2 linked regions of the Oryctolagus cuniculus genome follow. The protein of the gene in region 1 interacts with the protein of each later gene in a biochemical or structural test. Links are inferred from orthologs where the notes say so. Each region holds a gene or a part of one and is shown in the gene's direction. Other genes may lie near its edges.

Region 1 (3,745 bases):
GGTTTCCTTCCTTCCTCATTCTTGTCCCCGCAGGAATAAAGGGCCTGAATTTAGGACGGCGGGGGGGGGGGGGGGGGCGCAAAGGTGGGGAGAGAAAGGAGCAGAGACCTCAGGCCAAGTTAAGCCAAGAGCATCGGCAATGCCCAGGCAAGGCTGAAGGAGACCGGCCACCCTGCACTTCCGCCAGGAGCCCGGGGCCTCGCCAAGATCTCCGCGCGCTGGGCTGCACTGCCTCTGGCTTGTGCTGCCCGGTGTGAGGTGTGAAGTCACCAGTAACTCAGGGAGACGCAAGCCCTCCTCCGCCCTCTCCAGCACTCTCCCCGCTTCCATTCCTCCCCTGCAGCATCCACACAGGGTAGGGACTCGGCATGCCTCTGCCGAAGCCCGTAAGCGAACGCATCCGGCAAGCTCACGGCAGGGAGGGAGGGGCAGGGATGCAGTTTTGCGAAGACTTGTAGTTCCGGAGCGTGTTATTCTGGTTAATGATGCCCACTGGTGAGAACTCTGGTTTGAGGGGTATTTCTCCCCGGCTAGCCTGGGGCTGGGCTGGAAACGGCCTGAGCTGAAGGGCAAGCCGGCTCCCGATGGACAAAAGCCCCGTCAGGCCGTGAACCCCAAAGTATTGGAAAGGCCGCCTCACCTCAGGTGTGCATAAAGGGGGCTTGTGGGCAGGGTCGCCATCTACATCAGTTTGAGGTCAAAGACTCTTTGCAAAACCAACAAAAGCTGCGGATCTTCGACCCAGAAAAACGCAGGCATCCGGCACACACTGCAAGCCCACCTGTGATTACAGGAGGGTTGGGGACCCTGGACAGTCTTTAATTAAGGCCCAGGGTCTACATTCTGACGCCTAAGGTCCTCTGACCCTAACTCCACGCCGACCTCGCTCCCGCCCCCAGAGCCTAGCACCGGCTCTGGCAGCTGCTGCCCGCCCTGGTGGCAAAGGAGCCAAGGGCATCCTGCACCCCGCGCGGCTCCCCCGGGTGCTCGCTTAGCCCCTCCACAGGGCGCGGGAGCAGCCAACGCCTGGGGCACCGAGGGCCAAGTGGCGCAGACCAGGGAGGCGCGGGCGGCCGGCAGCGCGCGGGGGCAGGGCAGGACGGCGAGGGCAGCGCTGCGCAACTCCGCCCCGCCCCGCCCCGGCTCAGGGGCGTCGGGGGCTGGCACCCCTGCCCGGAGCGCCAGAAAAGCCCCAGCCCGGCTTCGGCCGCGCGCCAGCTCCCACCCCGGCGCCTTTCCCTTCGACCCCCGGAGGTTCGTTGACCTCTGGAGGTCTGAATCCTTCCCCCGGCTTGGCCCTGCCAGCCCTCCCGGGAGAGAGCGATCGCTCGTCCTCAGGACCCCCTACAGCCGGGCATCTTGGCGTGGCCACAGCAGGTGCGGGGCTGGGGGTGGGGAGGGGTGGGGTGGGGGTGCAGAATTAAGAGCGGGTGTGACTCAGGAGTCCGGGAGGAGGGGCTAAGAATTCAAGAAGCCTGTGCTGGAGCAGCTCGGCGCTCCGGCTCAGCAGAGAGCGCTGGGAGCCCGAGGGGAGCGCAGCGGTGAGTCAGGCTGCCCCGAGCCGAGCCCGAGAGGGGTGCAGCGCGGGCGCTGGCGGGCCGGGGCGGCGGGGCTCCCCGGGAGACTGTGCTTGGAGCCCGGTCGGGCGAGCTCTCCGGGCACCCCCGAGAGGAGTGTCCCTAGAGGGCGCGAGACCCTTGGCTGGCGGGCGGGCGGGTGGAAGGGCGCAGCGCTCCCTCTGGTCCTGGGGCACGGTCCCGGGATGGCCAGAAGTGCGAGAGGCCACCTGGCTCCTGCAGAAGCCGCACGGCCATGCCTGGGAGCAGCTCGAGGGCCGGAAGGGGACAGCGCGCAAGTGAGGGAGAGCGAATGCGCGTGGCGAGAGGGATGCGCGGGCAGCAAGCGCGCCGGGGTTGGCGAGTGGTGGCCCGCGCCGCGGAGGGCTCCGGGCGCCGGAGTGGCTAAAGTGCTTCACTGCCCGCAGGTATCAGGACGAGCGGGCCAGGGAGCGCTGGAGCTGGTGCAAGGAATAGGGCGAGGGTCTCAGGGCTTGCCCGCGCGTCGTAGAAGGCCTTGGGGGTCCGGCCTGGGGTCCTCCACGGGTTGACACTGGCAGCCTGCGCGCCAAGTGCCGGGGTTCAGCATCTGCGCTGCACATCCTCGGGAGGTCGCCAAGGCTCAGCCCTGCCCCTGGGTCACATGCCTCACCTCTAGCTGTGTGTTGCCAGGTGTGGGAGAGCTGGCAACGGCAGGCTGGGGTGGGCAGCGCCGTGGGTTCAGGCAGCGAGGCTGGAGGGGCGGGAGAGAGAGGACTCAGGGGTCAGGGAGCTACAACTTTGAGCCAACATAAACAAGCAACTTAGCTCTGCTTGCTTATGCTCTTCTCCCCCCCCCCCCCCCCCCCGATCTCTGAGAATCTCGTGGAAGGTGTTTTCTGCTTGAACTTTCTCTTCTCTCATGACTTGAGAGATTAAAAAAGAGCCTGCTTGCTAGGCTGGTTTTTCCAAGTTGTTCCAGGTTGGAAGTTGTAACAGTTTGAAGGATAATTTATGGGTGTTTTGTGCGTTAACGTGTATTACAGCAAAGCCTTTTGGGTGCTGTGGGTATTAAGGAAAACTCAGTGCACGTTCCCAGCTGGAAACCAAAATAGTGCTCTCCTGGGTGTCTCTGCCCCCTCTGGCATCTGAGGCCAGTGGAAATCCTGGAGAAAAGGCACTTGATGAATTGTCCTGGCTCCATCCGCTGGGCACACCCACTGCCCTGCCAGGCCCCTCCCCCCACCACAGGCATGGCCAGCTGCATTCTGCACATTCAGAAACGGGGATGGAGGGCCCTCCAGGGGCTGCCCTCGGGGGTCTTGAGCCTCCTGAAGCTGACGGTGAAGTCCGCCGGTTGGCCTGAACTCTTGCTCCCTGTGCAGAGGCACGCGGAGAGGCTGCCTTTGGCCGTCAGGCCTCTGCTGTTGAGGAAGTCATAGCCAAGGTGGGCACCTGGTGCCAACTCAGGATGGCAGTATTCCCAGGGGTCCAGGGAGCACTGGTGGCCCCCGGGGTGAGAGTGGTCTGGGGGCTGAGGACCAGTGCATCTGGCATGGATTCTCAGGAGCAGTGAGTGTCCCTCTTGCTGGGGAGGGGGAAGGGGAGGGGTTCGTGCCACGTGCGGCCAAACTCCTCCCTCATCTGCATCCTAACATCTGTAGGCAGGAAAGAAAAGGGACACCTGGAAGAGCAGCCAGTTAGGAGGCACCGCAGACAGGAAGGCCGGGTCGTTGGGCCTGGAAACACACGTCTGGATAGAACCGGACAAGTACCTCGGAGGACTTGATAAGCAGCCATAGGTACTGCTGCCTTCCCTGGGCAGCCGTCTTACTCCAGGCCCCCTAGCGAACTGGGCCTGCTGGGGGTGGTCACCCTAGTGGCTGTGGCTCTTTCCCTACACTTACTCCTTAGCAAGGAATGAGGCTCTCGCTTTCTGCTGCGCCTCCCACCCCAAGGACCAGTGGGAACCCGGGAGGAGGCTTCACCCTCCCATTCCCTTTCTGGGAGAAAGCTGTGCCTTGGCCAGGAAGGGGGCCCCAGCTGCCGACATCGGTAGGGAGGGTAGGGCATGGCAGGGCAGGGCTGGAGCCCGAGGGGAGTTTCTCATCATTGCTGAAATTCAAATGATGAGAAAATCACACAACGTTACTTTCTGGTGAGTGCTGGGTGCCGCTGCTGCTCACTCGAGGGTGCTCAGCCGGAACACA
Region 2 (3,645 bases), on another chromosome or scaffold:
TGATATTTTGTCTTTAGAATGAAGGGCCTGGAGGAGGACTTCTCTGGGTAGACGCAGCTCTGCAGGTGTGAGGCTTAGCGAGTGGAGTTTGGGCTAGATTTCAGCTCTGTTCGCCCCCTCGGCTGGGGGCCTGTGCAGGCTGCAACCTGCGCAGGTGTATCCTGTGGGCTCCAGGGGTGGCTGTAACCCCAACATGAACTTTGCAGAAGGTCAGCATCCCAGGCTCTGACCTGGTCCCGCCTCACAGCCTGCAGGGTGCACTGTCCCCCACTGTCTTACTTCCCCACTGGCTTTGATGTGCCTAATGCCTGCCTGGTGAGCTCATCCTGGCCCAGGTGGTTCCAATAGAAGGCGTTGGGGGGGGGGGGGGCGTCTGATCCCTTCCAAGACATCCCCCGTCTTTCTCTCCAGCCTGACCCTCTGATCTTGCCACACCCAGGTGTCCCTCGGAGGTGCCAAGGAAGCATGCCCCACGGGTCTGTACACCCACAGTGGCGAGTGCTGCAAAGCCTGCAACCTGGGCGAGGGCGTGGCCCAGCCCTGTGGAGCCAATCAGACCGTGTGTGAGCCCTGCCTGGACAGTGAGTAGAGGGTGGCTGGCGGGGAGAGGAGGGAGGAGTGGAAGGGAGGTGGAAGGGGGGGGGCTAAAGGGGGGAGCATGCCCATTAGAGGCCTTCTAAGTGCTCTGCCTCAGGGCAGGAACTCCTGCCTCCCCTATAGCATGGTCACCAGAAGTGGGGCTGCTCCAGTATGGGAGGCAGAGAGAAGCCGAGAATGAGAATGCGTGAGGGATGGGTGCAGAGGGAGGAGGGGGACCTGGTGGGGGATCCCCCCAGGGGTTGCTCCTTCCCAGCTCCCAAGCAAAGAAGCATGGGGTAGGAGAGCATGGCCAAGCACAGGAGGAGAAGCTGATGCCAAGCCCAGCTAAAAATAGCCACTGCAAAATCAATGGCTGCCACTGACCTTCCGTGAGCTTGGGGGAGGGGCAAGAGGATCCAATCCGGGCTGCCCTGGAGACTGACCTTGGGGGATCCTGGGAGGTTGAGGCCACCCCTCCCCCCAGCTCCGGCCAGGGCAGCAGGGACATCCTTACCATGGGCTGACATGGGGGGCAGGGGACAGGGGGACTGTTGCCACTGCTGCCTGAAGAGGGGTGAACCCTGCCTTCCAGAGCGGGAGGATGAGGGAGGCAGAGGGACAGCGGGTCCGGGCCCCTCAGCTCCAGCCTTGTCCAGAGTTCCGTGCGTTTCCAGTCATGAGTCTCAGTCCACGTTGGACGCCCCAGTCTTCAGTTGCTGCCTTAGGCGAGGGGCTTTTTCCTGCCTGCTTGGAGGCCGGTGGGAAGCATAGGCCCACTGGGAATGAGGGTGTAGGCCTGGGGAGTCTAAACCCATCCGCTGGCCTGGTCTCAGGTCCAGACATGGCCCCCTCAGTCCGCCTGTCCCTTGGGCAACCCCCTCTCCTTGGTGTACCCCAGGCATGCTCTTCTCCTCCCTGTACTGTGGGTGCTTATCTCACCACCCAGCAGACCGAAGCCTGGGCCCGGGGCAGGGGCGGGAGGGGGGAGGCTTTGCCCCCTGCACTGGCTCTGGCCTCATGGGGTTTGCATCGGTGGCGGGTAGAAGGTCCATCAACCATCAGCATCCTAGAACCTCCACAGCCTGCTGTTCTCACCACCCAAATGTGGCTGGGGAAATTTCCCTCCTGCTCGCTCGCTCACTCGCTCACTCGCTCTCCTCCTCCCCTCTCTGCTGCTCCCCCTCCCCACCTCCAGCTGGGTTAACAAGCCTTTACAAGCCCACTTTATGGCACGGAGACCCCAGTGGTCGTTCCCTCTACCCTCAAAATGTTTCCACAAGGAAACCTATTAAGCTCTTGCCTTCATTCTCTGCCAAAAACGACCGCATTTTTCACACCACCTAAAACTCTCTCCCAGGAGCTTTCTGTCCATTTGCTCTATTTTCCCACGGGCAGGGCTCGCCTCTCTGGCTCCCGTGTGACGAGACCCACTCCTCTGCCACGGGCCAGCCAGCCAGGCCCTTCTGGTTCATACAGATCCAACTCCAGCCTCAGCTGTTTGTTTGGAAGTCCCTTGTGCTGTCTGACCATGTCCCCAACCCGAGTCCTCTGCACTCACCATTGCACTGTTCCAGGCCCAGACTCTGTGGGATCCCTGCCATGTACCAAGTGCTTTTTAGTTTTTAAGATTTATTTATTTTTTTCATTTATTTATTTATTTGAAAGGCAGAGTGATGGGGGTGCGGGTAGGGGAAAGATCAAGAAATCTTCCATCCACTGGCTCAATCCCCAAATGGCCATAACAGCCAGGGCTGGGCCAGGCTGAAGCCATGAGTCGTGGACTCCATCCAGGTCTCCCACAAGGGTGGCAGGAACCCAAGTGCTTGGGCCGTCGTCTGCTGCTTCCTGGGTGTATTAGATAGGAAGGTGCTGGGACTCGATCCCAGGCCCTCTGATATGGATGTGAGTGTCCCAAGCTGTGGTTTAACCCTCTGAACCACAATGTCCACCACAGTGCCCAGGGTTAATTACGACGTTGTGGCATAGTGGGTAAACCCACTGCCTGCTGCTCCAGCATTCCATGTGGGCACTGGTTCAAGTCCCAGCTGTTCTGCTTCCAATCCAGATCCCTGTTAATGCAGCTGGGAAAGCAGGAGAAGATGGCCCAATTGCTTGGGTCCCTGCACCCACATGGGGGACCCAGAAGACGTCCCGGCTCCTGGCCCCTGGCTTTGTCCTGGCTCCGCCCCAGTCGTTGGGACTATTTGGAGAGTAAACCAGCAGATGGAAGCTCTCTCTCTCTGTCTCCCACCTCTCTCCCTGTAACTCTGCCTTTCAAATAAATAAAAATCTTAAAAAGAAAATTACAGCCAAATTTCTTCTTTTTTAAAGATTTATTTATTTGAAAGTCAGAATTACAAGAGAGAGAAGGAGAGGCAGAGAAAGAGGTTCTCCATCTGCTGGTTTACTCCCTAATGGCCGCAACGGTTGGAGCTGGGCCAACCCGAAGCCAGGAGCCAGGAGCTTCTTCTGGGTCTCCCATGTGGGTGCAGGGGCCCAAGCACCTGGGCCATCTTCTACTGCTTTCTCAGGCCACAGCAGAGAGCTGGATCAGAAGTAGAGCAGCCGGGCCTCATACTGGTACCCATATGGGATGCCGGCACTGCATGCATTGGCTTTACCCACTACGCTACAGCGCCGGCCACACAGCCAAATTTCATTCATTCCTCCCCACCAGCCTGCGAATGGAGATATTATTCCCCATTTTCTAGAAAAAGAAAAAATCTCAGAGAGGTCAATAAGGCACTCAGGGTCACACAGCGAATAAAGGATGGAAGTGGGTTTTGAATTCAGAGCTGCTGGCTCCCTGGGAAGAGAAGCCAGGGTCTCTGTCAGAGCTGGCTGGAAGCCGCAATCCCCCCCAGGCCCCCCTGCCTCAGCCTTCCCTTCTCTCATCCCCTGCCCCCTTCTGCCCCTTTCTCTCTGGTGGCTCCTCTCCTCTGCCTTCCATGCCTGCCCCAGGCTCCACGACAGCAACCCTGTGTCCATCTTGTCTCTTGATGCTTTTAGTTAAGGGAGAGACCTGACCCCATGGCTGCCTCAGTTTCCCTCGGCTGGGCTCCTCCC

What was found. The genes of interacting proteins can lie anywhere in the genome.
Region 2: the proteins of NGF (region 1) and NGFR form a complex in vitro, tested with the Homo sapiens proteins (2 studies listed by BioGRID and IntAct, with this or other methods). The link is inferred for Oryctolagus cuniculus from reciprocal best matches to the Homo sapiens genes NGF and NGFR.

Annotation. Positions count from the first base shown.
Region 1 is NC_091438.1:55,015,889-55,019,633, forward strand, and holds the start of NGF (beta-nerve growth factor), read left to right. Parts: upstream 1-1,358; 5' UTR 1,359-1,377; intron 1,378-1,453; exon of another isoform or gene 1,454-1,541; intron 1,542-3,745. UniProt on the Homo sapiens protein: Nerve growth factor is important for the development and maintenance of the sympathetic and sensory nervous systems.
Region 2 is NC_091448.1:25,538,322-25,541,966, forward strand, and holds part of NGFR (tumor necrosis factor receptor superfamily member 16), read left to right. Parts: intron 1-439; coding exon 440-581; intron 582-3,645. UniProt on the Homo sapiens protein: Low affinity receptor which can bind to NGF, BDNF, NTF3, and NTF4. Forms a heterodimeric receptor with SORCS2 that binds the precursor forms of NGF, BDNF and NTF3 with high affinity, and has much lower affinity for mature NGF and BDNF.